Cricetulus griseus: one gene and its partner. The protein of the gene in region 2 purifies or fractionates together with the protein of the main gene of each other region. This does not show direct contact. Links are inferred from orthologs where the notes say so. Each region holds a gene or a part of one and is shown on either strand. Other genes may lie near its edges. The genes, in order: Fkbp5 and testis-specific serine/threonine-protein kinase 6.

Region 1 (16,437 bases), about 16 Mb from region 2:
AAGAGGGGGAGGAAGGACTGTAGGAGACAGAAGGGTCAGGGGCCTCACAGAGACTGGTGGTCATCACGGAGCCAGCATGGGTCTGCCCTCAGTCCTGTGTGGTGGTTGTTTAGTTTGGGGTGCTTGTGGGACTCCCAATAGTGGGGATCACTCACTCTCTGCCTGCTCTTGGGACCCTTTCCCTCCTATTGGGTTGCCTCATCCAGCTTTGCCATGGGGGTTTGTGCCTGGCCTCACTGCATCCTGCTATGCCGTGTTTGGTTGATATCCCTGGGAGACCTGCTTTTTTCTGAAGCAATGGATCTGGGGCAGGGGGTGTGGTACTGGAACAGTGGAGGGAGGGGATGCTGTGGTCGGTTGGGATGTATTGTATGAAAGAATAATAAATGAAAACAAAACTAAAAGCCAATCCAGACTCCACGGTGTGGGAACCTGATAGATAAAATAGCTGGTGAGTCATGAGGTCAGCCCCACCCTGCCCCTAAATACTAATGATTACCTATTTGATCTTATCTCTCTTCTTGGTCAGGAGCTCTAGAGATAACCTGAAGCTGAGTCATGGTGTCCCAAGGCAAGAGTTACCTTATAAAAACACATTATCCCAAAGGCCTAGAGACTAGGTATACCCCGTCATCTGAGACACACGGGGGCTCCTAGCCCGCAGGTCTGGGTGGCTAGGCTCACACCACCTCCGGGATCTCACAAGGTGAGTCCCTTGAAGCCGCCACATCTTCCTACATCTAGCGTGTTTCCAGAACCCCATTCCAATCTGTGGCTTGGGGTCGCTTTCCCATTACTGTTCTCTACATCTGAGCCCATGGACCCCTGGTGTGTGTGTGTGGGGTGTGTGTGTGTGTGCAGTGTAGAGCCTTGCCTTGGGCTCACCCTCAGTGAACAGCAGCATTCCAATATGCAGACCTGGCTGCTCCAGATGAGGGAATAACAGAATCTTTCGCAAACTAACCAGATTGCTGGATGGGTGTGTGTACGGGTGTCCAGAAGCACCACATCCAAGCCCCATTTCATCCAGAGTGGCTTCAGGGAGGAGGTGCCCTCAGGGGCGTCCACCTGGCTGCATTCCCAGCCCAGCAGATGACCCACTTCTCTTCTGACAGGAGGACCACAGCTCGGCCTAGAAAAGGCTATTTTGGAACTGGGTCAGGGCATCAGGTGACTTTATAACCACAGGGCCACTGTACATGCGCTAGGATTCCCTCCCCTTTCCTGATTCTCGAGGCTCTTGGCCCTATTAGACAAAGAACCTGTGAATCACAGCCATCTCAAGCCGTCACACCATGGGTCGTGCTTATCAAGGTATTAGGAGCCACAGGGGTTGCCCCTTCTCTTCTCCTTCCCCCATAGGCTCCATGCATCCTAGGCTGGCCTCAATTTACAATGACAATGTCGGATCATTTTTAACTTTTGCAATAGGATCTCTCTACATAGACCCGACTGTCCTGGAACTCACAGAGATCTGCCTGCCTCTCCTCTGAGTTTAAGGGTGTGTGCCACCATGACCAGCAACGTTGGATCCTTGACCTGGTTCCTAGCCCAGAGCTGGCATGAACAGATGGGCACTACCACACCCAGTTTTATGTGGTGCTGTGACTGCATGTTCATCTGCAGGCCAAAAGAGGGCATCAGATTCCATAATAAATAGTTGTGAGCCACCACTTGGGTGCTGGGAATTGAACTCAGGACCTCTGGAAGAGCAGCCAGTGCTCTTAAACGCTGAGCCATCTCTCCAGCCCCCAAATCTCATTTCTTCAGGTGGGCTCCATCAGAGCTTTTCCTTTATTTTGCTTTTATTTGTGACAGAGTTTCTCTGTGTTACAGTCCTGGTTGTTCTGGAACTCGCTTTGTAGACCAGGTTGGTCTTGAACTCACTGAGATCTGCCTGCCTCTGCCTCCCAAGTGCTGGGATTAAAGGCGGCGCCACCACAGGGCCCATCAGTTTTTCAACCCAGTTTTTCTGCATCCAAGGACAGACCAACCTATGGTGGTTTAAGCGATAATGGTCCCCAGCTGGTAGAACTGTTTAGAAAGGATTAGAAGGTGTGGTCTTGTTAGAGGAGGTGTGTTAGCAGGGGTGATCTCTGAGGTTTCAAAACACTAATGCCATTCCTGGTTAGCACCCTCTGCCTGGTACTGACTGATCAAGATATTAAGCTCTCAGCTATTTCTGCCACTTTGAACTTGTGCTGCCACCATGGGCTTTTTTTTGGGGGGGGGTTAAAATAAATCTTTTCGCCAAATGCCACCCGAGCCCTACAGCCACGTGGGCTCTTTCTGCCAGCTGCCCGAGTTCTGCCCACCGAGTTAGGGCCCCAAATAATACACAGAGACTTATATTAGGTACAAATGCTGCATGGCCAATGACTAGGATTTCCCATCTGTTAGCACAGTCTTAATTGTCATAAATCTATATATTTTATAAGACTTATCTAGGATGCCTCATACTGGGATCACATAGTGACTCTGGAGGAAGAGAGAAGGGGCTCACTTCCTTCTTGCCCTTGTTTATATGAGTCTCCCTACCATGTCACTTCCTGAGTGGATCACCACTTCTTTACTACATTTCCCAGAATCCTCCTTGACTCCTAGTCCCGCCTAACTTGCTGCCTCATTGGCCAAACAGTACTTTATTTATCATCTAGTAAGACAAACACATACACAGAAGCACTTCCCCCATCAGGGGGGCTTTGAGAACAGGGTTTCTCTGTGTAGCCCTGGCTGTCCTGGAACTAGCTCTGTAGACCAGGCTGGTCTCGAACTTAGAGATCCACCTGCATCTGCCTCCCGAGTGTTGGGATTAAAGGTGTCCTCCTTGCCCCCCCACACTCCCAATTTACTCAGGAAATCTTGTCTTTTCCCCTTCCTAGGCAGATCCATGTCTGTCTTTCTTGGAGTCCTCTTTGTTACCTAGGTTCTCTGGGGTTGCAGTGTAGACTCTTGAGTCTCTAAAACTGAAAGCCCCAAATAATCCCTTTCTTATATAGTTGCCTTGGTCATGGTTATCTTGTCCCAGCGATAGACAGTGACTAACACAAGGTCCAATATGTTGAGGTTCTGAGATTCAGTGGAGATCTATTGTCTACAGAACGATGGCTGTAGACCAAAACATTTTTCTTTTTAGGCTATTTATCAGGGCTGGAGAGATGGTTGAGAAGTTAAGAGCACTGGCAGCTCTTGCAGAGGTCTTGGGTTCAGTTCCTAGCACCTGCATGGTGGCTCACAGCCATCTATAACTTTGGTTCCAGGGCATCTGATGCCCTCTTCTATCTTCCTTGGCCACTACCTGCACATGGTGTATGTGTGCGTAGTGAACACACAGGTTCGGCAGGTAAAGAGTATTTACTGATCTGCAGAGGACTTAGGTTCAGGTCTCAGGACCCACATGAAATTCACAACTCCCTGTAACTCCACTTCTAGGGGATCCAAAGTCCTCTTCTGGTCTCCAAGGTCACCTAGATACACATACACTCAAACACACACAGATAAAGTAAGGAAAATTTAAAAATCAAAAAACAACGTAAGAACAATGAAAAACCACTTTTTAAAAAATTTATTTAAGGAACACAAAATGCATCTAAATGATTTTTTTTTTTTTGTATTGTTTTGAGACAGGGTCTCACTATATAGGCCTGGCTGTTGTGGAACTCACTGTGTAGACCAGGTTGGCCTAGAACTAGCTCTTGTAGACCAGGCTGGTCTGGAACTCACAGAGATCCACCTGCCTCTGCCTCCTGAGTGCTGGAATTAAAGGAAATACACCCACTACCTCCAGCTTCTAAATGATTTTTTAAAAACCAAAATTTAAGTGTATCATCTGGTCACCCATCATTCTACCCAGTCTAAAGGTGCTTTGAAGACATCTTCTGATTTCCATATGAATTATTTGAAATTATTGAATACAATAACGCATCAAGCCTAGTGGTGCTGGGTACCTCGCCACTTTTGGCTGGAAACCTTGCACACCTTCTCCTGGCACCAGTCTCCTTGGCCCATGGTGCACACTTGGGAGACAGCTGGTGAAGGTCACCCAATTTTCTGAAAAAGAGGTCTCCTGTAAAAAGCCAATGGGCTAACTTGCTAGGCTCAAGTCTTAGCTATGTCCTGTTTCTGCGCTGCAGTCAACAGAACTACAGACATCAGAGTTAGATAAGAACAGTCAGCTCCTGCTCTTTGTGCTTCCTAGGCGAGATCAGGGCTGAAAACATTATTCATGAAAAGAGGCAGAAGTGGAAAGTGTGAAATCTAAGAGGTTTTAGTCACCAGTAAACGAAATTCCTCAAAGCTGAACTCCATCCGTTGCATGTAGAATAAAACTGGAACAGCTTGAAAACAACTTGATTTGTAGGTTTTAAAGTCCTAACTTAACAATGAGACTGTTTTATTAAAACAAACATAAAAACAAACTCATCTAAATGCAACCACCAGTATCCCTAGGGCTACAAGAGTGAGGTTTCCAGGGTTCATAGGCTGTGGAGAAGCAAGTAGCACTCAATCCTGTACACTTCCCGCAGGACTAAAATCCAACTACATGGCTACTTAAGGCTTGCCCTGATCCCATGCCCAGACCTGGAGACTCTGGCTTGATGGACCTGCATGGGAAGCCAGCAACCTTTATAGGACACCAGAACGAAGAGGCTGGGGTACAGAGGGACAGCATCTGCCCATCAAACCTCCAGGTACCCTCACTCTAAGAGGAACTGCCTGCTTCAAACCTCACAGATTTTGCCTTTCAAAACCAAAGCTAAAAAGTAAAAAGTGAAAAATGTTTTTGCATGGTAGAGGAGTGTGAAGTTTCTTCCATAAAGCGCTATATATGCTTACAAACAATTAAAAAAAAAAAAAAAAAAAGAGTAGCTGCGTCAATCTTAGTTGGATGTGGACGTTAGTCCACTCCAGGTCTAGGACAAGAGCAAGCCTCAGTTCTTCACAGCGAGTCAGGGAAAGGAAACAGGAGGCTGAGCAGCAGCACTGAGAGCTAACATACTTTAAAGCGGGGGACAGCGGGAAACAAGCCACTCAATGAGTTCACTCTAATTAGGGAAAGCTAACCCGGAAACTCCCACCTACCACCACCTGATGAGGGTGTTGGAGTAATAACAGACTCTCTGGGTGTGACGGAAAGTTACACTCACAAGAGTCTGAGAAGGGAACCTGGGAAGCCGCTGGACAGGCAGGCAAGTGACCTCTGAGACTCTGCTGTGGACCTGGGGACCCCTCATTTTGGGCTTGTGTTCTCAGCACTGGAGTCAGATCTTCCACCCCTGCCCTGCCTCCCAACAGGAAAGCAGAGATGGTTCCTGCGGGGCTACTGAAGCGCAGATGGAGAGCCCTGAGGCAGCCGGGGCCTTGGGACCATCAAGGGATGCTGTGTAGGACACTGAAATGAGCTGGACTTGAGCTGCTGGCTTGGTCTCTGCACACCAATGGGCTTTTCTGTTCTGTTCCCCGGCGTGTCCCCCTACCCCCACCCCCACCCCTGGGCAGCAGCAGGGTGGTTATTTTGGGAAGCTATTGGTTTTGCCATTTGCTTCCAGAATCCCAGAGACTGTAACAAACCTTACACTAGACACTGTTCAGTCCTGAGTTGGGTGTGAGCCCAGCAAGGAGGGCCGAGTTCATTAGGACTCTCTTCCCTCCTTGGCGTGGCGTCATACATGGCCTTCAGCCTTTCCTTCTTCCATGGCCTGCCTCTCGGATCTTTTACAGGCCTCTCCTTCTACAGTCTTCTTGCTCATTGCTTTGCTGGCTGCTTCCTGGGGGTTAAAGGAGGAGGTGAAATTAGCCTCTGTCCTCCTAAGATGGTTTAATCCAGTCTACAATAAATGTGTCTGCTAGTATTTGGGACGCACAGTTGGTAAGTGGGGGTGGTGGCATGCAACAGAAGAGCTTGCTATCTGAGGTGGCTGTTGAATCATTAAGGCTTGTGGTGGTGGAAGCTGGGGCTCAGGGACAGACTTGGGAGCAGAGAATGTCTGTAGGGCAAGAAGCTGACCTGTCTTCAGGTACACCTACTGCCAGCTTGGCATTCAAACAGATGGCAGTGTACAGTAAAGAGCACTGTGTGGGGCTGCAGTGACACCCGTTTCCAAGCCAAGCTGGATATCTTACCCAGGAAGTATTACTTGGGAAAAAAAAATACTGATAGCTGTCCTGGAACACACACTGTAGACTAGGTTGGCCTCCAACTCACAGGGATCCATTTGCCTTTGCCTCCCAAGTGCTAGGATTAAAGGCACGCTGAATTTATTAATATTTTAAATAACAAGCTAACTTGGTTTGGTGACAGATGCCTGAAATCCCTGAACTCCTGAGGCAGAGGCAGGAGGATCTCTGAGATGAAGCTAGCCTGGTCTACAGTCTTCTATGTCTCAGGAGTTAGCCTCCCCACCTCTTTGTGGACAAGCAGGGCCTCAGCTGGAGCCCTACCAAACCTGTGCATCCTCAGCAGCCTCTGGCCACACCCAAGTCTCTTCCTTAGCCTTGTTTCTCTTAGGCTGGCAACCCAGCCTTGTCCCCTCCGCTGGGTTAGCTCAGCTCCTCATCTGCCTGGGGTCGGGGCTGCGCACGCGCACCTTTGCATCCCGCTCCGCGAACTTGGTGAACATATTGGCGTACACCCTGCGGTCTCGCTCATTGTGCTCCTTGGCTTTCTTCTGGCACATGGAGATCTGCAGTCTCGCGGCCTTATTCTGAGGGTTAACCGCCAACACTTTCTCAAAGTCACCTTTGGCGGACTCAAACTCGTTCATAAGCAGCTGGGCTTCACCCCTTCTGTACAAGCCTTTCTCATTGGCGCTGTCCAGTCCGAGGGCCTAGAACAGAGAGACGCCCACAGTTTAGGAGGGATGGCTGTAAGTCTTCTCACTTGAGGGCAGTGAAGAAGAGCTTCAGGAAATAGTGTGCAGTTCAAGGGTGACAGGTGAGAGATGCAATTACACCCCAAAGAAGCATGCGTGTGTACAGGGATGACAAGATAATCAAGTGTTTTAATAGAAAATGCCTCCCCAAAGTGCATGTGTTGAAGCCGGATCCCTAGATGGTGTTGGGAGGTCTGACTGGCCCTGAGGACCCTTTATCAGTGAGACTGTACTGAACAGGGTTGTAAGGGATTAGAGCATTGGTTCCCAACCAGGGGATCACCGCCCCCCCCTGCAGGGGTCACATATCGGCTATCCTGAATATCAGATATTTACAATTCATAACTGTAGCAAAGTTATGAAATAGCAATGAAATATTTTTACGACTGGTGGTTACCACAACATGAGGAACTGTATTAAAGGGTTGTAGCATTGGGAAGGTTGAGAACCACTGGACTGACTAGAGGAAGGTCAAAGGGGTGTGAAGTTTTTGTTTTGTTTTGTTTCGTTTTGAGACAGGGTCTCACTATGTAGCTCTGGCTGTCCTGGAACTCAGTATATAGACCAGGCTGGCCTCAGATTCATGGAGCTCCACCTGGCCTTGCTTCCTGAATGCTGGGATTAAAGGTGTGCTTTTGAAAGGTACGCCTTGTCCCTGGGTCTCTGTGTCCTGGCTTCTATAAAAGCAAGCGACTCTTCTCTGCCATGCCCTTCTGCTTCCATTTCTGCCCACAGCAATACTGTCAGCCAGACATGGACTGAACCCTTTGAACTAAGTGTCAGACAAAGAGCCCTACCCTAACTCATATGTATGTTCATGCATATGCAGGCCAGATGTCAGTCTTCAGGAACTGAGAATGCTGATAGGCTAGGGTGGCTGGCCAGTGAGCCCTGGAGATCTGCTCCACCAACACTGGGATAACAAGCATGGGTGGTCTGGAATTATTATGATTTTTTTTGGTACATGTATTTTGCCTGCATGTATGTATGTATGTATGTATGAGCACTGACTCTACACCAGTGGAAGGCAGAACAGGGTATTAGGATCCCCTGGAACTGGAGTTACAGAGAGCTGTGAGCCACCATGTGAGTGCTGGTAATGGGGCCTGGGTCCTCTGGAAGAGCAGCAGGTGCCTTAGCCACTGAGCCACTCTCTAGCCCCCATGCACAGCTTTTATGCGGGTGCCAAGGATCAAACTCAGGGCCTCACGCTTGTGTGACAGGCACTTTACCCACCTAAAACTTTAAGTGCTCCTATCTCTGGCACTTGTAGGAATTTATCCTGTGCAAACACCCCAAAAACATGCGACGAGAAACACTGAATGCATCACATTCTCTTCTAACTTTTAAAATTACTCTGAACCTTCTAATAACAAAAGCAAACTCTGAAGATCTTGCAGTGAGGACGAATTAAAGTAAAACCACCACACCTTCACACATCTGATCTTACAACGAGTCTTTTAATCCTAACCCTGATGAGGGAGAGCAGTGAGTGCAGTCATCCGACAGGGAAGGGAATTATGTCCAGATCTTTCTCTAGTCAGCTTTAAGTTCATTTTTTTGTATGTATTATGCATAAGTGTATGGATGTACATTCATCTGTGTACGTACACACACACACACACACACACACACACACACACAGAGGCCAAAGGACAAGTATCTTCTTCTATTACTTTCTCCCTTACTCCTTTTGAGGCAAGGTCTCTCCCTGAACCCGGAGCTCACAACTTTGAGGGACGCCAGCAGTTAACACACCTTCCTGATCCTCCTATTTCCCATCTACTGGGTGTTCCCTTCCTGTGGGTTAGGCCAGGCTTACTACTGCGTTGGATCCTCAGGACCTGGACGGTGGAAGAACTCCTCAAGTTGCCCATATGTGCACCATGGCGTCTACACAGCACCTATCTGCACATAATGAATGTTTACAGAATGGAGCAGGAGGGCTGGGGAAGAATAAGGCCTGTGACCCAAGCTCCAGGGATCAGATCTCTCTCCTGGCCCCCAGGAGCACCTGTGTGCACACAAGCACATTCCCACACACAGATAGCATGCATGTACAAATATTTAAAAAACGTAAAGTGTATCTTTAAAAAAATGGCTTTGAGAGACAAAGCTGATGGAAATTCTATGGCTGGAATTTCTTGTATGCTTGAATTCTGAGCAGCTTTGTAACATCTCTGTATTTAAAAAAAAGCACAAAATTGTCAGGCGGTGGTGGTACACAACTTTAGTCCCAGCACCCGGAGACAGAGGCAGGTGGATCTCTGAGTTGGCAGCCAGTGTGGTTTACAGAGTGAGTTCCAGGACAGCCAGGGCTGTTACACAGAGAAACCCTGTGTAATGAAAAACAAACAAACAAAAAGCTTTCTTTCATAAGAGTTGTCTTGGCCATGGTGTCTCTTCATGGCAACAGGACAGTTATAACTGTTATAACTGTCTTCAGGCCCACCTGTAAGATACACTCACTCAATGGTAGTTTTTACTTATGCTGTAACATATACTGTTCCATATTAACTAGAATAGAAAACTGTCAAGGCGGTACTCACGGCAAACCGCTGCCACTCGTAGCAATGGATCAGAGCACAAATGCAAAACTGTGAGGGCTGCTGAGATGCTCCACCGCCCCTTAAATTACATTTGTGTTTTCAGTGGCTGAAGACCTAAGAAACTCAGACTAAATTTGCTCCATTAAACAGGAACCCAAGGGCTGGGGATATGGCTTAGTGGTAGAGTATTTGTCCAGTGTGCACAAGGCACAATCCCCAGCAGGGCAAACAAAACAAACAAAACAAAACAAAAAGTGGAACTCCCAGAGTTCTTTCTCTACTATGATGCTCAAAACCAGTGTAAGACCACAGGTGAAAACTGTCATCAATTCTATGAAAAATTATATGTAAAATGCTAGATAGAAATAGTCCATGTCTAGCCCAATCCTCTGGGTGTCCCAGCTCATGCCGAGCATAGAGGACACTGCCTGAGGGCAACAGAAGCTCCCCAGGGACAGAGGGTGGGGTGCGGACCACCCAAGTGCACATCACGGGGCCACCCACCTTGTCGCAGCACTCCACAGCTTTGGTGTACTCTCTGAGCTTCAGGTAGCACATGGCCAGGTTTAGGAAGGCCGCCAGCAGGAAGGATTCAGAGGCTTTTGACTCCTTGTCTGATAGGCCGTACTCCATCTCCAGCCAGGACACAATCTTCCCGTACTGAATCACAGCCTGCATGTACTTGCCTCCCTGGGAGAAAAAGGCCAGTGATGACTCGTATTGTGCTCAGGAAAGGATGTAACACAGCGCGAGCATGGCCTGCCTTGGCTGGGTCCTCACATGGAACAGGCTTGCATGACAACCCGCTCTGTGTCCTTGAATTATACGGCCTCAGCTCCCCTGTGGAAGCTCTGCTGGTCTGTGAGGTAGCCTGTGTGTGTAGCAGGCTGACACACGGCATGCTGTTTCTTGGCATTATTCCAGCCTGGCAGCAGGTGGTTACACCATTTGAAGCCAATATTCAACAGTCTTTCAAAGGATGGCAAGCCGTATGGCTTATGGAAGGCGGGGGTGACTTTTCTCTCTTCTCCTGGCATTCAGCATTGCATAGTAAATACTGCAATATGGTAACGTAGTCACCAGACAGCAAGCCTGGGCTCTCTGAAGCAGACTGCAAGTCCTCGGCTCTCATGAGTAGTGTGAGAGTAGCACCAGCCAACACAGGCAAAGCTGCAGCAGCATGGCTGCGTCCTGGTGGTGTCTGTGCACCGGTGTGGCTGCATCCTGGCTTCATTGTACTTCTAAGAGTAAGCAGTGGGCCAGAGTACAGCATACAGCTTATACTGTGTACAGTATAAGCAAGCTTGAACAGCAAAATCAATGTGTGAGAAAGCTGGTCTACTCTTATTTGCCCTATTCCACCCCCTCTGCAGTACTAAGGACTGAACCCAGGGCCGCATGTATACTATAAGCACTGTACCCATTATACCGCCAAACCCTCATTTTTATTTCAGACAGATAGGACCTTGCTAAGTTGTCAAGGCCGGCCTAAAACTTGTGGTCCTCCTGCCTCAGTTTCCAGAGCAGTGGTTCTCAATTTTCCTAATGCTGTGACCTGCTAGGGGTCAACCAACAGGTGAGACCCGCTGTTCCAGAGTAAGTGGAATCACAGACATGGGCCAGCACACCCCCTGGCCCTGCTTACTAATGTGTACGCTACTGAATGAATAAGAAACTGCGGTGGAGACCACGTGCTCACTGCTGTAATAACGCAACTTCATGTTGTGGAGTGGCCGTTGGGAATCAGGTTAGGACTCTTCTCTGCAGCAGGCAAGTACAAGCCTGAGTACAGAGGACACGTTCTATCAGATGGCAGAGGGCAGCACACTGCAGGATACGAAACCCAATGTTTACACACTGCACACTGCTGAGACCGGCAGGAGGACTGCCTGTACTCATAGCAGTGAGTCCTGGCCCCCAGGCACAACCAGCCAGCCTCAGACACACTTCCTTCTCATGGAGCACTAGGGGGCGCAAGACACCTGCACACAGCAGGGAGTCCCCAGCCTTCACAGGCCACCTATGCTTAACAATGACTTGCAGAACTAGACGAGGTTAGTCATTTCCTGCTTCTCTTCTCATGAGTGTTCAGAGGTTGAAAGGAAGTTTCAACACCAGTCTAAATAGCACAACTCAGTCCTGCTTTGCCCACAGCTGTTAACCAAGCTTGCAGGTCAATAAAATGTGCAGATGTTTTGAAATACAGGTCAGCAGTGCGGCCCATCTCTGCAGTCACCCACACTTCTGCATGCTGGGTGCGGCACATGTCAAGTCAGACACCCTGGGAAGATGGACTGCTGAGAGCAGCAGGCAGGCAGGCAGGCAGGCAGGCAGGCAGAACGAAAGCTGTCCTGAGCATTGAAAAGGGAACTCGTACAGGAGGCAGCCTACCAACACTTCCAAAACCCACAGCTCCAGCTAGCATCACCACTGTGACCTTCACCTATAATTAGGAAGGGTGCCTCTAGGACGTCAATGGTACAAAATGTCCAGAGACGGTCTGGGGTAAGTCTTAGGTCACTGGTTTTGAACCTTTCATTAATTTTCCCCTAACAGAAAGATCTTGTCTATCAAATTACATGTTAAGAATAATATGTTCCATATGTGTGACTGATGATCCAGATTTTATCCAGATTGGTAATTTTAGGAAGATTCAAAACATGTTGAAATATACGTATCATCACTGTAATGCTCCCAAGAAACACCAGTAAGGGATCTGAATCACATGAAAACCAAAGGTCGAATTTTCCAGATTTCCCAACTGAGAGCTCATATCTGTCTGTATTCTGATTCATACTTTATTCTTTTTTATTTTAGCAACTGTTAGAATAAACAAATGGATGTATATTATTAAAATCTCTAGATTTCGCCCACAGTGAAGACGTGCTTTAAAATGACTGCCCACAGGGCTGGAGAGATGGCTCAGAGGTTAAGAGCACTGACTGCTCTTCCAGAGGTCCTGAGTTCAATTCCCAGCAACCACACGGTGGCTCACAACCATCTATAACGAGATCTGGTGCCCTCTTCTGTGTGCAGATAGACATGGAAGCAGAATGTTGTATACATAATAAATAAATAAAATCTTTTAAAAAAGTACTTTAAAAAATGACTACCTAGTATCACTTACAATAAACAAAACTCATCCACACCATATGCAGTGCACAATCACTGAGATGGTCCCATGACCCAACACTGGTCTCAAATGGAGAACAGATGAACTGCCTCCCGCTAAACAAAAAGCCCAGTGGTCTTTACTGTCTCTGCCAGTTATCCCACTTGGTTCCCACCTGCAGATAAGGTGGTAGAGGCGGCAGTGCCATGTGACAGAAAGGGGCCCATGAAGACCTGACTCAGACCTGTGCTTCACAGAGTCATGAAAACAAACCACCAAAAAACAAAAAAAACCAAACAAACAAAAAAGAATCTTCTTTAACAAGTAAATAAACCAATGGATAGCTCTTTCTCTCCCTCCACACCCCCTTTCTCAAGACTGCAGTTACAAGAAAAAAAATCCAAGAACACGTGTGTGTGTGTGTGTGTGTGTGTGTGTGTGTGTGTGTGTGTGTGTGTGAGAGAGAGAGAGAGAGAGGGGGGGGGTGTGTGTGTCTCACTATGTAGCCCCGATTGGTTGGAATTTGCTATGCAGACCTGTCCTTGAACTCACAGAGATCCATTTGTCTCTGCTTCTGGAGCGCTGGGATTAAAGACGTGTACCACCACAGCTGGCTGCAGGCTTCAACCTCTTTACTACAAGGCAGGGAACTGAATCAGCTGCTTCCAACAGCATCACCTAGCCCAGGAGAACACATCCATTTTTGAATTCTCAACACTAAGTCTTCACTTGGTGTGCAGAGATACACATTTGGGAGTGGGCTGGCAACAAGCTGTATGGCACTCTGAAATCTCCTTTCTTGCACCTGGGATTAGAATCTATGGGATAAAGCACTGGCTCCTAGGTCCCACGGAGAGGGCTCTGGGGAAGCAGCTGTCATGTAGGGCAGCTGTAAGTAGTATCACCATGGCCAGTGCAAGGTTCAGTGCCCTCTCCCCACCAGGTTCTTAAATGCGCTGTGCTGAGCATCCCTGGATGCTGAGTCATCCATGCCAGTCTCCAGAGTTTTCCTGGTACCCAGCCAGCACCATTAGTGGCATCTTTATTTTGTTGTTCAGTTACAGCAGCAGTGATGTATTTCTAGATAAAACTTATCAAACAAGGTGGGCAGTGGTGGTAGACTCCTTGAATCCCAGCACCTTGGAGGCAGAGGCAGGTGGATCTCATGAGTTCCAGGACAGCCTCGTCTGCAGAGCAAGTTCCAGGACAGCCAGGGCTACACAGAGAAATCCTGTCTTAAACGACAACAACAATCCCCCAAACTTATCAAATATTAAAGATCTATTTTGAGGATACTGGCTGTGAAAACTGCTGTTCCAATTTAGAGTGCAAAGGTAATTCATATTTCTTATTTTTTATTAAAGATTTATTTATTACGTATACAGGATTCTGCCTCCATGTATGCCTGCAGGCCAGAAGAGGGCACCAGATTCCATTATACATGGCTGTGAGCCGCCATGTGGTTGTGGGAGTTGAACTCAGGACCTCTGGAAGAGCAGTTAGTTAGTGCTCTTACTGTTGAGCCATCTCTCCAGCCCCAGTAATTCCTATTTCAAGTGGAAACCATAATGAGAACAACCAGGGCCTTCTTGGGTTGTGCTTACATGAAAACAAGTGCAGTGCAGTAATGCAGGGGGAGGGGGTCACCCAGCGTGGTTTGAAGACTCTGCATGTTGTTTCCTGTCACAGGTCCTAGTGAACTTGAGGAGTGGGAGGAAGCGTGGAGCCCACTCCTGTGAACTCTGACTATCACAACCTCTCTCCATCCTTTCTCTTCACACCCACTGCACACTAACGATGGACCAACCGGGATGCACCATCAGGCCTTGAGTGGTACGGATGCAGGTGAGCAGGCCAGGTGAGGTCTGCTCATGGCATAAAGGTGAGGTGCCTGAGTTACTGCCTTCACACTAGCGCGCTCTTCTCACAGATCCTTACACTGAGGACAGCAGGAAAGCGTGGAAACTGAGGGTTACCAGCACGGCACATGGACACTGAGCAACAGTGGGGCAGGGACAGGGTTTACAGGGACTCACACACCTTGAAGTACACCGTTCCCTTCTCTTTGACAATGGCAGCCTGCTCCAGTTTTTCTTTGGTGTCCATCTCCCAGGATTCTTTGGCCTGTGTACAGATTTGTGGCATTAGTTAGATGAGCAGGAGGACACACACCACTTGATGCCTACAGATCAAACACCAGCTACTTCTAGAAGATACCCAAACTCAAGACACCGGCAGGCGGCTGGGTGGTGGTAGCGCACGCCTTTAATCCCAGCACTCGGGAGGCAGAGGCAGGTGGATCTGTGTGAGTTTGAGTCCAGCCTGGTCTACAAGAGCTAGTTCCAGGACAGCCTCTAAAGCCACAGAGAAACCCTGTCTCGAAAAACAAGACACTGGCAGGCAGCACCGTGTGCTGCTGCGGAGCCACCACCGGGCCAGTGGTCTAGGTGCCACTTTAAGAACATGAGCCGTGGTTCCCAAGCTGTGGTCTGACCAAGCAAAGCTGTCCAAGGAGAATGGGCAAAGCACAGCAAGAGCATCAGAGCCGAGCCGAGCCGAGCGCTCTGAAGGACTGCACTGTAGAACGACAAAGCTGGCCTCCCGAGGCCTCCTCACTTCTGCTTCTGCCAAGTCTGTTTTCCAGCTCTCAATCAGGATCATTACTTATGGTCCAGGCCAAGCTGTACATGCACAGAGAACTTTTTAAATTCCAGGTCAGGCATTGTCTCATCACTCACGACCAGATGGATTATAGTCTCTACCAGTATCAGCTTGCAGGTGTGCACTTGGGCAATGTCTTTTCTTTTTTTTCCAGGCTGGCCTCCACCTTACAATGTAGACAAGGATGACCTTGAACTTGTGACCCTCCTGCCAACACCTCCCAAGCGCTGGGATTACACCTCAATGATGCCTTTCCTTGGGGGCTTTTCAGCAAAATATGACTAGGAAAACGGGAGCTCATGTGGAAACATCACTGCAGAGCTGAGCATAAATGACTCCACCCTCACCTGGGGCAGCTTGTATCATGTGCACCCTATTCTCCACAACTGTCCATGCAGGTCTAGAAGCAACAGCTCTGGGGCTGTCATTCAGTGAGACAGTGCTTGTTCTGTGTACTTGAGTCCATGGGTTTAAAAAAAAAGAAAGATCCATATAACTGCTGGAGTTAAGATCACAGAGTCCAGTAGAATAACCAAAGTCTTTCAGGAAATGCAATAGGAGTGATTGGCTCTATTTAGTACATATGGATTAGAAAGTTCAAGTGGAGGGCTGGAGATGGCTCAGCAGCTAAGAGCACTGGCTGCTCTTCCAGAGGACCTGAGTTCAATTCCCAGCACCTACAAGGCAGCTCACAACTGTCTGTACCTCCAGCTCCAGGAGAGCTGACCCTCTCTCATGGACACACAGGCAGAAGAGACACTAATGCACAGAAAATAAAAATAAATCTCAAATACAAGAAAGGAAGAAAGAAAGTTAATTCAAGTGGAGTCAGGTGAGCAATGGTGGCACACGCCTTTAATCCCAGCACTTGGGAGGCAGAGGTAGGAGGATCTCTATGAGTTTGAGGCCAGCCTGGTCTATAGAGCGAGTTCCAGGACAGCCAATAAATACATATTATACCATGTGAACAACAAATATTGCTAGTGTATGAACCTGTGTAAAGACCACAGGTCAATTTAGGTGTCTTTCTCTATCACTCCCCACCTATTTAAAAAAACAAAACTACTTTTACTTATTTTTTCAACATATATTTCCTTTGTCTCCTTCCTTCTCCCTAGATTTATTTATCATGTATACAGTGTTCTGTCTTCATGTATCCATTACAGGAGGTTGCTGGGAATTGAACTGAGGACCTTTGGAAGAGCAGCCAATGTTCTCAACCTCGGAGCCATCTCTCCAGCCC
Region 2 (12,869 bases):
GGGCCTTCTCCTTCCTTTTTGCCTTTAGTTTGCCCGACACCAGCAGAAACTCGGACCTTGGGGCCAGCTCTGCCTGGCCAGCATGGGTAGGAGCTCACCCTGGACACTGTGACATGCCCAGGCCAGGCTGGCACCCGGAGCTCCCAAAGTTGAGCCAGGGTTTTGTTTTCTTTTGGCTTTTCCCGTCTTAGCTCCCCAGTCTCTGCCTCCTCATGGCCATCTATAGGTTGAAGTTTGGGTTTTTGTTTTTTCTTTTTTAATCACCTCACAATGATGATGGAATTAAAAGTGAACTGTGTAGACCCAGGGTCCCTGTTGTGCACAGTGTCATCCTGGCAGGCCCTGGTCCCAGAGAATGCTCTGAGTGGCAGTACCCAGGGATGACAGGGGCCACCACGGCTCCAGTTGTGTCTGTTGCTGCAGCCCCTGGCTTCCACGGTTATCAGAATGAACCGCAGCCCCAGACTCTGCCAGACACTTGGAAGTTCCAAGGGAATGCTGGGCCTACTGTGCTGGAACCAGAGCTGGCTGCTAGCAGGGAGGGTACTGGGTTATTTTTTGTGGTTTATTTTATTAAAATTTCTTTCCTTTTCCTCTTCATTTTGATGGACACAAGCTCAAGGTACCCAAGAGGCACCCAGGTAGGCCCATACAGAACCCTACAGGGGCCTGGGGCCGGCAGGGTTTACTTCCATCGACTTCTCAGTCCACAGGGATGTCTTTGAAAGGGCCAGGTCTACTTTAGTTTTATTTTGTCCCTCCCACTAAGAAATTGGTTTCATGGTGAAAGGCAGAAGCAGCACTGTGTGTCAAGCCTGCCCAGAGCAGCCTACTGCTCATCTGTAGTGACTGGTTGCTGTCGGATCCCGACCAGCCCTGGCTTCCCTCGACACAATACAGTTAGGGACTTTAATTTAAACCCTTGTTCTGCAGACACACCCTCTGCAGACATGCCCCTGCCTCCTCCTAATAAAGGCTCATTTAACCCCGTGCTCACTTGTGTGCAAATCCTCCATCTCTAGGAATTATTTGGGCATATGGGAGTTCAAGTTTTGGAAAATCTTTTTGTTGTGTGAAACCCAAGTTTCTCAGTGCTTTTAGGTTTGAGTGTGTCACTTCCCTGGGTGGATTTGGGGGAATGAAAAGAAATCGACCCTTTTTGGGGGAGAGGGGGTGTTTTTACACCAATAAATGTATATGTAAATATTTCAATATATGCAAGCATTTCTTACACGAGTATTTGTGTGCCTGGTAAGTCAGTTCCTGTTATCTGCCCTTCCTGAGTGGCTGGCCTCTGCTCAGTGACATATGGACCAAGGTCTTCTGCCTCCATGAAGCAGCAACATTAGGTGGCTTCTGCTAGAAGTCATCCTAGCCAGTAGTCCTCAGTTCAAACCATTACCTGGTGCTGGATGAAGACCTCTATTAACTGTCAGGGTCTGACCAGAGGGCTCTGTTGGTGGTATACTTGTGATCTCCCTACACTTCCAGCCATCTACGTCTGGTGATTGCTCCCCATCCTGACATTGACCTGTCACCTAAGGCTTGTGTACCTCACAGGGGACAAGCTTCAGCAGAGGTCCAGGGCTGCTGGTGTGTCACTCCCAGGGGTGACACTGTGTGAGGAGGGCTGAGAGAGTGAGGGCCCTCAGTTACTAAGTGCTGCCAGCCCCTGTCCACTGCACTGGTCTGAGCAGCAGGCCCTCAGAGTGACATGACTAAGGACTGTGCCAGGAAGACCAAGTACTTAGGGTGCGGTGTCAGCCACAAAGCTGCCTCCATCCCTATCCTGATGAGCTGGGTCCTGGGCTCCTTGCAACACCCTAGAAAGATCTGCTGTCCTCTGCCTCCTGAGATTTAGGATTAATGGCTTCCACCTCCATGCCTGACTTTTAAAAAAACACTTGTGAAAAGTTAGATGTGATTGGCATGGCACTTCATGCATGAACTGGTTGCCTAGACGCTCTGGTCAGTGGGGGCACATGGACTTCACTCAGTATCTTCTTGTTGCTGGGGACAGGTTTGAAGGGGGCAGTTGCTTGAAGAAACCTCAGGGACCTTGCCCAACTCCCAAGTGTCACCTGGGTAGGTATGTGGGGGATAGTGACCCTATGAGCAGCCTCAGGACCTGACCACCCACATAGACACCTCAGGAAAACCAAAGCTTACCCCAGGTAGAGTAAGGTGACAGTGCTGGCTGTAGCAGAGAACCCAGGTGAGTATCGGCCTGAATGGTCCTGTTTGGTGTTTGGAGAAGGATGGTCCTCACCATTCCAAATCCTGTCAGCCTGAAGACCTTGGACTATTGCCAAAAAGCGGTTTCTAAATTTTCAGTGTAACAGTTACACTAGTGCAGGGTATGGGATTGGGGAAGACAGCTTCTACTTGTATTTGTTGTGACTGAGTCATTGATAATGTGTTAAAGTTTACTACCAAAGGAATTATATATTCCAAGAAATGAGCTGGAATTGGTAGCCGCCTTGTATCTGGGAGTTCTGAGACACTGAAGGACAATAAAACAACCAAATGTCACTGTATTGTTTTTTAATTTCCTGGGGCCCCAGTGTTTTGTCCCAGCTTCTGGTAGCCTATCTTAAAGTGGGGAGTGGAAGGTGGGGTGCACATGCCTTTTCAACATGGCATTGATCCAGCCTATTTGATCTCAACAGGCTGGATTCCAGTGAGAATCCCAATTGACTTCTGCCCACCTGAGGCTACAGGGACCTGTCGGAGTAATTTCTTTACCAGCACCTTGTGGGGCTTCACTGTGGGCTTGGCCCACCACCGGTGTCTGATCAGCTTGAGATGCCCAGTTTCACTTTGTGATTTTAAGGCAGGATCTGCTGTAAGCTCAGGCCTGAACTGATCCTCCTGCTTCCACCTCCCAAGTGCAGGGAAGACAGGCATCCACCACTATTAGAAACATTTTACTTAAAAATTGGGGGCTGGAAAGATGGCTCAGCAGTTAAGAGCACTGGCTGCTCTTGCAGACATCCCCGGTTTAGTCCCCAGCACCCTCACAGCAGCTCACAGCCATCTGTAAGTCCAGTCTCGGGGACCTGATGCCTTCTGGCCTCCACAGGCTCTGTAAACAAATAGTGCACAAACATGCCAAAAAAAAGCATACACAAATGAAAGCAAAAAAATGGGGGGGGGCACACCTTTAATCCCAGCACTTGGGAGACAGAGGATCTCTGAGCTGTCCTGGTCTACATAGTGAGACTATTTGGAAGACAGAAGGAAAATGGGAAGCTGGGCATTTGGGTTACATGTTAAGTATCCTAGGTTGGCCATGCTTACATAGCAAAGCCATGTCTCAAAACAAATCTAGCCGGGCGTTGGTGGCACACTCCTTTAATCCCAGCACTCGGGAGGCAGAGGCAGGTGGATCTCTGTGAGTTCGAGGCCACCCTGGTCCCCAGAGCGAGTGCCAGGATAGGCTCCAAAGCTACACAGAGAAACCCTGTCTCGAACCCCCCCCCAAAAAAAAAAAAACAAAAACAAATCTGAGAGTGTGGCTCAGCAGTACAACCCATGCCTAGAATCCCCCAGAGTGGGGTTGGGGCTTGCCCTGGGGACCATCACCTGCCTAGTCTCAAGTTCTGGGTTCCATCCCCGGCATGAGAGAGGAACGATGGGAAGCAGGTGGTATGTCTAGTTCAGCTTGTGTGAACATAAGGATCCATTCTAGTGTGCTGGAATCTGGAAGACTCCATCTATGGAATCTGCTGCCCAAGCCCCAGGGATTGTGTCCTGCTCAATGCCTCAGGTACTGAGCACAAACCCGTGACCACAGAGCCTCCCTATTCACCAGAGGGTGGACTGTTTCTGCCTAGGTCTGGCATTACTAGGTCCAGACAGTACTAGAGTTTAGGTCCCCCCCTCTCTTGCAGCCTCAGTTTCCCCATCATGAGGCAGTTGAGACCCAGAATGAGGACAGAGCTAACGCTGGACCTCCAGGGTACCAGAAACCTGTGGAGAGGGGAGCAGGGGTTGAGCATAGCAAGACCCACAGCAGACAGCCCCTTAGACTACCTGGGCCTCATACAGGGGCAGGAGACGGTTGAAAATGTTTCCCAGTCACTAAACCCCAGTAAAATCACCTCCAGGGTCCCCTTTGAAGTACTGCTCTAGCTCCCCTCCATTTCCTCATTCCCCTCCTATTTCAGCCCCAGGAACTTCCCCAGGATCACTCTGTCCTGTGTTTTCTGGCCTGTGTGTGTGTGTGTGTGTGTGTGTGTGTGTGTGTGTGTGTGTGTGTGTGTGTGTGTGGTTTTTGGAGACAGGGTTTCTCTAACCCTGGCTGTCCTGGAACTCACTATGTAGACCAGGCTGGCCTCAAACTCAGAGAAATCCACCTGCCTCTGCCTTCTGAGTGCTGGGATTAAAGGCATGTGCCACACTCCTGGCATTCTGTGCCATTTTTAATGGTTTGGGCACAGCCCCCAAACAGCTTCATAGTCTCTCTCTGGATACCCCTGCCCTACCTAACATCCTTTATAACTTACAATTCTTTCCACATTTTATCTTAAGTTACTTGGCATTGCACTTGTATCCTTGTTAGGCAAGGATGGTTCAAGCCTTTTGAAGTCCCAGGACCTGATTCAAGACACGAAGAACTGGGCTTGCTGGGTCTGTTTTCTCCCTGTAAACTAGGGAGAGTTCCACCATCAGGCATCTTGATACCCGAGTACAAACCATAGTCGTCTCTGCACAATTGACACCTGTGTGGGCCTCAGTTTCCCCATCTGCCAATGCTCGGTTTTTGCGGACAGGCACTCCCTTCCTTTACGCACGCCGATCCCAATTCAAGCATCATCACAACCTGTTGACGACTACAGAACCTCCAGAAGTTTGGCCAGTTTGGGGAATTGAAAGTTCTGACGCTGGAATCTTCACATACATGGCTTTCTCTAAGGTGCTGAGACCTCACCTACCCCCTGTTCTCTAACAAGGGCCCACCGCTAACGCCACTTGCGAGGAAGAGCGAATTTATTGCAGGTTCCAAACTGGAACTTGGAGCGCACGGCTGGCCCGCACGGCTGGCCCGCAGCTTCGCCGCGCCGCGGCCACCCACCGCGCAGCAGGAGCTCATTCCGCGCAGGCGCAATGCTTCCTTCTCTTCTCTTAGCGCCCCTCCCGGGGCCTTCTCGCCAGAAATCGAGGATGCGCATGCGCCCTCCAGCAATCGGGTTGTGCAGGAGGAATCCAACAGCCGGCCTCGGCGGGCCGCCGCCGTCGGGGGAGGGGAAGGGACAGGGCGCGTGCGCAGTGGCGCGCGGCGACTTCGCGGGTTTCCCGAAGCTCGCCAGTCGCGCGTGCGCCGCCCTGGCTTAGGGCCTGGTGCGGCGGGAACAGCGAGAACCCCGGCTCCTAGCCGGAGTCCCCGGCCCGCAGCCAGCCGTTGCGCGCCACCTGGCCCGCCGAGGGCCGGGCGGACGGGCTGAACTGTAGCAGCTCGGCGATCAGGGCCTTGCATCGCTCCGACAGTTCGAGGCCGTCGGGGTAGAGCACGCCACGCTTCTGGCGCCGGGGCAGGCCCGCAATGTCCGAGTCATCGAAGGGCATGCACCCGGTGACCATGACGTAGAGCACGACGCCCAGGCTCCACACGTCGTACTTCTTGGGGTCGTAGGGGATGCCCAGGAGCACCTCCGGTGACGCGTAGGCGGCCGAGCCGCAGTAGGTGGTGCTCAGGTCCGGGTAGCCGTGCGCCTGGCGGCCGAAGCCGAAGTCCGTGAGCTTGACGCGGCGCTCGTCGGGGCTCAGCAGCACGTTCTCGCACTTGAGGTCGCGGTGCACCAGGTGGTGGTCGTGCAGGTAGCGCACGGCGCCCGCGATCTGCGAGAAGAGCTCGCGCGCCTGCGACCCCGGGATGCGCCCGTTGCGCTGCACGGCCTGCAGCAGGTCGGTGGCCGCCGCCTCCATCACGATGTACAGCTTCCCGTTGCACACCTCGATGAACTCGAAGACGTGCACGATGTGCGGGTGCCGCACGCCGCGCAGGATGGAGAGCTCTCGAGGCAGGAACTTGTTGACGAAGTCGGGAGGTGCCCGCCGACGGTCCACCACCTTGATGGCCACCGTGCCCTTATACTTCTTGGAGGTGGCCACCTTCACCTTGGAGTAGCTGCCCTCACCTATTGTGCGGCCCAGCTTGTAGCCGAGCTCGCTCAGGAGCTTGTCGCCCGACATGGTGGCGCCCGGGGCGCGGGGAGCAGGAGGCGGCTGCTGTCGGGGGGCGGCCGGACTCCGATCTCGGGCCTAACCCATGGTGCTTGGCACCCGCACCCCCGTGCCCCCATGTGCCCACTCCCGAGGCCCTGGAGCCGCGACGACTGTTATTGCCCGGGTAACAATTTCTGCCTTGTGAAGTGACCGCGGGCGTCACTTGGGCCCGGGGTGGGGGCCGCGCTGCCCGCCCCGCGCGGGCGCCGCAGGCCGCCTCGGGCTTTGTGACTCAATCGCTCGGCCGGGCCCGTTCCCCGTGAGGCGCCGGCGGGGGGACCGGTCACCCGTGGGGCGGGGCGCGGCCCGGCCGGCCCGGGGGGCGACGCTGCTCGGCGGGGTGGGCTCGGCCGGCTGCCGGGGCCCGGGATGGGTCGGACGGCGGCCCTGGTGCACATCTCGGGGCTGGCCGCCGGGGACCGGCGGGAACCTCAGAACCGTCGGAGAACGACCCACTTCCGCCACACTCAAAATGGCCGCCGAGCGTCGCCTCACTTCCGCTGGTGACCGGAAGTGGGGTGTCGCAAGTATGGCGGCGTCGAAGGTGAAGCAGGACATGCCCCCGCCAGGGGGCTACGGCCCCATCGACTACAAGCGGAACCTGCCCCGCCGGGGCCTGTCGGGTCAGTGTGCGGCGGGGGTCATGTCACACCGGGAGGGAGGGAGGGAAGGACGGAGGGAGGGAGGCCTCGCCGTCGCAGCGCCCTGAGGGACCCGGCTGCGCGTCTCCCCGGCCCCCAGGTGGCTTCCACAGTTGGAGAAGCTAAGCTGCGGGACGTTCAGAGCGAGCCGCGATTCGCAGACTTTGTTTGGTTTCAGGCCGGCCGAGGGAGGACCTGACAAGTCTGCACCTTTTTCTTTTTCTTTTTTTTTTGCAGTTAGGGCCTTACTGTGTAGCCCAGGCTAGCCTCAGAATCGTGGCCGCCCTGCCGCTGCCCCTGGGTGCTGGAATGACAGATTGACCCAAAGAGGAGGTTCCGTGTGTGTCGATGGTGCCCTGGCACAGAGCCCAGGCCACTCTGCAGCTCTCGACCCCCCACCTCCGCCTCCACTTGCCAGGCTGACAGACATGTGTGTTTTAAGTAACATTTAGAATTGTATTGTTGATTTCAGCAGGAAAAGAATGGGGAGAATATTAAGTTTCCCACCCTCGTTGCTCAGGGTTACAAAAATACCATAGTTAGGGGTTGGGGTCCAATCGGTATAGTGCCCGCCTAACATTTCAAAGTCCTGGGTCTCACTCCTAGCTCCGCATAAACAGTACCAAGTGGTGGACACCGGTCATCCTGGGCTACATGATGCTGCCTTCTGCTAAAAAAAAAAAAAAAAGAAAAGAAAAGAAAGAATTCAGGAACTTGGAGAGATGGCTTGGTGTTTAGGAGTACCTGATGTTTTTCCAGAGGACCTGAGCTTGGTAACTCCACCCTCTGCGGATTTAGATTTTAATTCATTATACTTTACTGTGCATATTTTGTAAACTATACCTCAAATAAAAAACAAAACCTTCAGGCCCTACCCAGGAGAAGCAAAGATGGGATCATCCCAAGTTCGAGGCTAGCCTAGACTATGTGAAGAGTTCAGGCCAGCCAGGACTATATTGTGAGACCCTGTTTGAAAGCAGGTGATCCCTGTGAGTTCGAGGCCAGCCTGGTTTACAGAGTGAGTTCCAGGACAGCCTCCAAAGCAATACACAGAATCCCTGGCTGGGTGGTGTTGGTGGTGGTGGTGATGGTGGTGGTGGTGGTGGTGGTGGTGGTGGTGGTGGTGGTGGTGGTGGTGGTTCAGGTGCAGCACACCTTGAATCCTAGCACTTGGGAGACAGAGGCAGACAGGTATCTTGAGTTCAAGGCCAGCTTGGGCTACAAAGTACATGCATGTCTGGTGTCTGTGCAAGCCAGAAAAGGGTGTCAGATCCCTTGGAACTGAAGTTAAAAACAGCTGTGAGCTTCCATGTAAGTGCTGCAAACTGAACTAGAGCAGCAAGTGCTTTATTTATTTCCAGAAAGGGTTTCTCTGTGTAGCCCGGCTGTCTGGAGTTTACTCTATAGTCTAGGCTGACCCAGAAATCGGTTTGCCTGTCTCCTGAGTGCTGGGATTAAAGGTGTAACCACCACATGGTCAGCAAGTACTCTTTAAAGTTTTTTTTTTTTTTAAGATTTTATTTATTTATTATGTATACAACATTCTGCTTACATGTATATTTGCACACCAGAAGAGGGCACCAGATCTCATAACGGATGTTTGTGAGCCACCATGTGGTTGCTGGGAATTGAACTCAGGACCTCTGGAAGAGCAATCAGTGCTCTTAACCTCTGAGCCATCTCTCCAGCCCCCCCCCCCCTTTTTTTTAATTAATCTTTTGTTTCATGTGTTTTGTTGTATGTCTTTGCACCTTGTTTGTGTATACCCTTGAAGCCCAATTGAGGGTGCCAGAAACCCTGGAACTGGAGGTAACAGACAACTGTGAGATACCTCATGGGTCCTGGGAACCAAACTTGGTTCCTCTGCAAGAACAGCCAGTGCTCCTAGCCCCTGAGCTGCCTCCTTTGCCCAGCTTCTCTTTTTTCTGAGGATTCTTACTCTTGCCCAGACTAGCTTTGAATGCCCTTTCTCTTTTCCTCCTGCTTCAGGCATTGGAGTGTTGGAATAATAGGTGTGTACACCGTCTCCTTCCTTCCTTCCTTCCTTCCTTCTTTCCTTCCTTCCGTTTTTCCCCAAGACAGGGTTCCTCTGTACATTCCTGGCTGTCCTGGAACTAGTTCTGTAAACCAGGCTGACCTTAGATTCAGAGATCGCCTGCCTCTGCCTCCCAAGTGCTGGGATTAAAGGCGTTCGCCACCAACACCAGGCCCAGCTCTATATTTTAATAATTGTTTTGTGTATGCATGTGTATGGGGAGGTCAGTTTTCTTCTTCTTTCTTCGTGGGGGTTCCAGGAATGGGGCTCAGATCACGGGGTTTCTTCAGCAAGCGCGTTTACCAGCTGAGCCACTTGGCAGCTCCTCTGTTTCATCTCTTTCTGAGCTGTAACACACCCAAGCCTGTGCCCCACTCAGGCCTGCACCATGCTGACTGCATAGCATTTGCCCATAGGCACCTAGACTAAGCTGGGGGGTTCCTCAGGCCTACAAGCTTTACTTCCTTACTTTTAATCTTTATGTGTCCTGCATTTTATTTACTTAAAGGCAAGGTCTCATGTAGCTCTTGAATTCTCTCTGTAGCTTAGTGTGACCCTGCACTGAACCTGCTCCCACCTCCTGAGTGCTGGCATGACAGGTGTGTGTTACTAAGCTTGGTTTCTGTGGTGCTGGCTGTGGAGCCCAGGGTTTGTGCCTGCTAGGTAGGCACTCTACCCACTGAACCACCTGCCCAGCGCTTCCTTCTGTTTGGAAATCACATGCGGTTTTCCCCTTTAGATCCTGACACAGCTGTGCTGGCCTTATTGCTCTGCGCCTTTTTTTGTTTGTTTTGTTTTTAAGATTTATTTATTTAGAGAAAGGGTTTCACTGTGTAGCCTTTGCTGGCCTGAAGCTCTCTCTGTAGACCAGACTGGCTTCAAACTCAGAGAGATCCACCTGCCTCTGCCTCCCAAGTGCTGGGATTGAAGGTGTGCACCACCACCACCCAGAGTATGTGATTTTTATTATTGATGACTTGAGTTTGGGGTACTGTGACATTTTCAGATACTCTGCAGATATTTCCCTTCCCAGTGGCCTGCTCAGCTAATAGTGTCATTTACACAAATAGTTTCTCTTACTTAAGGAAGTCCTGTTTGTATTCTTCTAAAGTAGATTTATATATTCACTGTTTTTTGGAGGAGGTGGGGGGAGCACCATGCTGTGCACATCTTTCTTTGAACCAGGGTCTCACTGCAGAGCCCTGGCTGGCCTGGAACTTGCTGCAAACCAGGGAAGCTGCAAACAGTGACCCTCCCACTCCACCTCCTGGGCACCGGCGTTATAAGAATGCATCAGGGCACTTGGGCTCTTCTTTTCTTTTCTTTTCTTTTCTTTTCTTTTCTTTTCTTTTCTTCTCTTTTCTTTTGTTTTCTTTTGTTTTTTCAAGACAGAGTTTTTCTGTAGCCCTGGCTGGCCTAGAATTCACTGTGTGAAACAGGCTGGCCTCAAACTCAGAGATTCACCTGCCTCTGCCTTCTGAATGCTGGAGTTAAAGGTGCGGGCCCTTCCTTCCTTCCTTCCTTCCTTCCTTCCTTCCTTCCTTCTTTCCTTCCTTCCTTTTAAATTTATCTATTTTTTTTCTTTTTGATACAGGGTCTCATATGTTATCCTCACTGGCCTAGAACTCTATGTAGACAAGATTGGCCTCTAACTCCAGAGATCCACCTGCCTTAAGGCTTTTGATATCACTTCTAGCCGTGTGTGTGTGTGTGTGTGTGTGTGTGTGTGTGTGTGTGTGTGTGTGTGTCTGTGTGTCTGTGTGTGTGTGTGTGTGTGTAATGGGTTCTCATATAGCTTTGGCTGCCCTATGTAGCCATGGATGACTTTGAACCCTTGATTATCCTGCCTCTGCTTCTTGAGTGGTGGGATCACAGACATGCGCCTCCACTCCTGGATGATGCTGTTAGGGATCAGGAGTCAGCATGTTAGGCTGGCAAGCATTCTACCTATTAAGCTCAGCCCTGGCCGGGCGTTGGTGGTGCACGCCTTTGATCCCAGCACTCGGGAGGCGGAGGCAGAGGCAGGCGGATCTCTGTGAGTTTGAGATCAGCCTGGTCTCCAGAGGGAGTGCCAGGACAGCCTCCAAAGCTACACAGAGAAACCCTGTCTCGAAAAACCTAAATAAATAAATAAATAAATAAATAGCTCAGCCCTGGACATCTCTAGCTCTTACTTTCCGGTCTCCATCCACTGGGAGTTGAGTTCCTTCTCCAGGTGAGCAGGGGCACTGTGCATCTCTGTGTGGCCAGTGGTCCAGTGCTGAGAAGTCTCCTCAACCCCATTAAATTATTGTGGTATCTTTGTCCAAAGCTAATTGGCCATAAACTTTGAGGGTTTATTTTCGGATCGTGGATGTCCGGTTCTGTCCTGCTGGCAAGCGTGTCTTTGTGCACAGCTGCCTGATGAGTTTGAAGCTGTCACATTTCCTGAAAGCAGCATTACTGCCCTGGGTACTTCCATATGAATCTCATGACCTGACTGTGGGTTTCTGCAGAGGAGAAAGGATCAAGGCTGTGATGGTGATTGTGTTGAGTCTGCACACAGTTGGGGAAGAACTGCCACTCACTCACACGTTTATTGATTCAGGAAAGAATGGCACAGGGTGGCAATGCCTCCTACAGCTTCAGCTACTGGGTGGGGGGTGGCTGGAGGGGAAGGTGTGTGTGGGCTCTACTCTCGCCCATGGCACCTCCTGAATATAGGCTGCCTCAGTGTTAATTGTGCCCACACTTGAGGACCAGAGCCCCCCACAAGGGCCTGTTTGGTCTGAGAAATTACTAGGAGCAGCTCTGGTCAGATTCTGGGACTGAGTCTGAAGATGAGGCCCCTAGGGCCCTCTTAGCTGTTGGAAATGAGGGTGCAGCATTTGTACAGGTGCTTTCCCATTTGGGTGAGGGCTGACTAACCCTGCAGTCAGCCTGCCAGAGATGGCCTCGAACACCAAAGGCTTCCCCTGCTTTCCATTACTGGAGGGCCTGGCCTCTGAGCATGAGCCTTAAAGTCCGAGCTGAGTAGGTGGAAATATTTAGCTCCTGACCTAGCTGAGGGTCCAGTCAGGCTGCACCCCAGAACCCATTCTTCCCCCTGTGGCCCAGCCTTCTCCATACCCTCTCTAGTCATTGGTAGATAATCCCTGGAGCTTGTCCTGCCAGTCAGGATTGGAGTTGCCCCTGCTGGTCTTCAGTAATTATTTATAGTGGTCCCTGTCTCCCCTGGGTGTAAGGCAGGTGGCCTACCCTGCTGGACTGGTGGCGCCTACACCACCCCTGGAGTCAGGAGCAGGCTGTGCAACCCCGGGGGCACTTCCAGCCTCTGGTGGTGCTGCTCAGAGCCATGCTTTCTGGTGGGGACCAGGCATCTGTCCTTTTGTTGTTGTCACCCCGACACACACACACACAAGACAAGGTTTCTTTGTGTAGCCCTGGCTGTCTTGGACCTATGTAGACCACGCAGGCTTCCACCTCACAGGGATCTGTCTGCCTCTACCATGAGTGCTGGGATTAAAGGCGTGGGCCACCACACCTGGCACCTTTGTCTTTCTAGTCCAGTGGTTCTTAACCTTCCTAATGCTGCGACCCTTTAATACAGTTCCTCACAGTATGGTGGTGGCGCTAGCCTTAATACCAACACTTGGGAAGTAGACGCAGGTGGGTTTCTGTGAGTTTCAGGACAGCCTGATGTACAGAGTGAGCTCCAAGACAGCAGGGTATATAGAGAAACCCTATCTTGAAAAACAAAAATAACAATTAAAAAATACAGTTCCTCAGGCTGGGGAGATGGCTCAGGGGTTAAGAACACTGGCTGATCTTCCCAAGGTCCTGAGTTCAATTCCCAGCAACCACATGGTGGCTCACAACCATCTGTAATGAGATCTGGTGCCCTTTTCACTGTATATGATAAGTAAATAAATCTTTTATTTTTTAAAGGAAGATCTTTAAAAAAAAAATAGTTCCGCCAGGCATTG

What was found.
Region 1: the proteins of testis-specific serine/threonine-protein kinase 6 (region 2) and Fkbp5 purify together in Homo sapiens (affinity purification with mass spectrometry; 4 studies listed by BioGRID and IntAct, with this or other methods). This does not show direct contact. The link is inferred for Cricetulus griseus from reciprocal best matches to the Homo sapiens genes TSSK6 and FKBP5.

The regions. Positions count from the first base shown.
Region 1 is NW_023276806.1:233,517,732-233,534,168, forward strand, and holds the end of Fkbp5 (peptidyl-prolyl cis-trans isomerase FKBP5), read right to left. Parts: intron 14,658-16,437; coding exon 14,574-14,657; intron 10,112-14,573; coding exon 9,926-10,111; intron 6,828-9,925; coding exon 6,588-6,827; intron 5,769-6,587; coding exon 5,664-5,768; 3' UTR 4,252-5,663; downstream 1-4,251. UniProt on the Homo sapiens protein: Immunophilin protein with PPIase and co-chaperone activities. Component of unligated steroid receptors heterocomplexes through interaction with heat-shock protein 90 (HSP90).
Region 2 is NW_023276806.1:249,071,706-249,084,574, forward strand, and holds testis-specific serine/threonine-protein kinase 6, read right to left. Parts: upstream 6,669-12,869; 5' UTR 6,196-6,668; coding exon 5,374-6,195; 3' UTR 2,518-5,373; downstream 1-2,517. Other genes in the region: Ndufa13 (NADH dehydrogenase [ubiquinone] 1 alpha subcomplex subunit 13), read left to right, coding at 6,701-6,851. UniProt on the Homo sapiens protein: Serine/threonine-protein kinase component of the sperm flagellar doublet microtubules. May act as a regulator of sperm motility by mediating phosphorylation of sperm doublet microtubule proteins.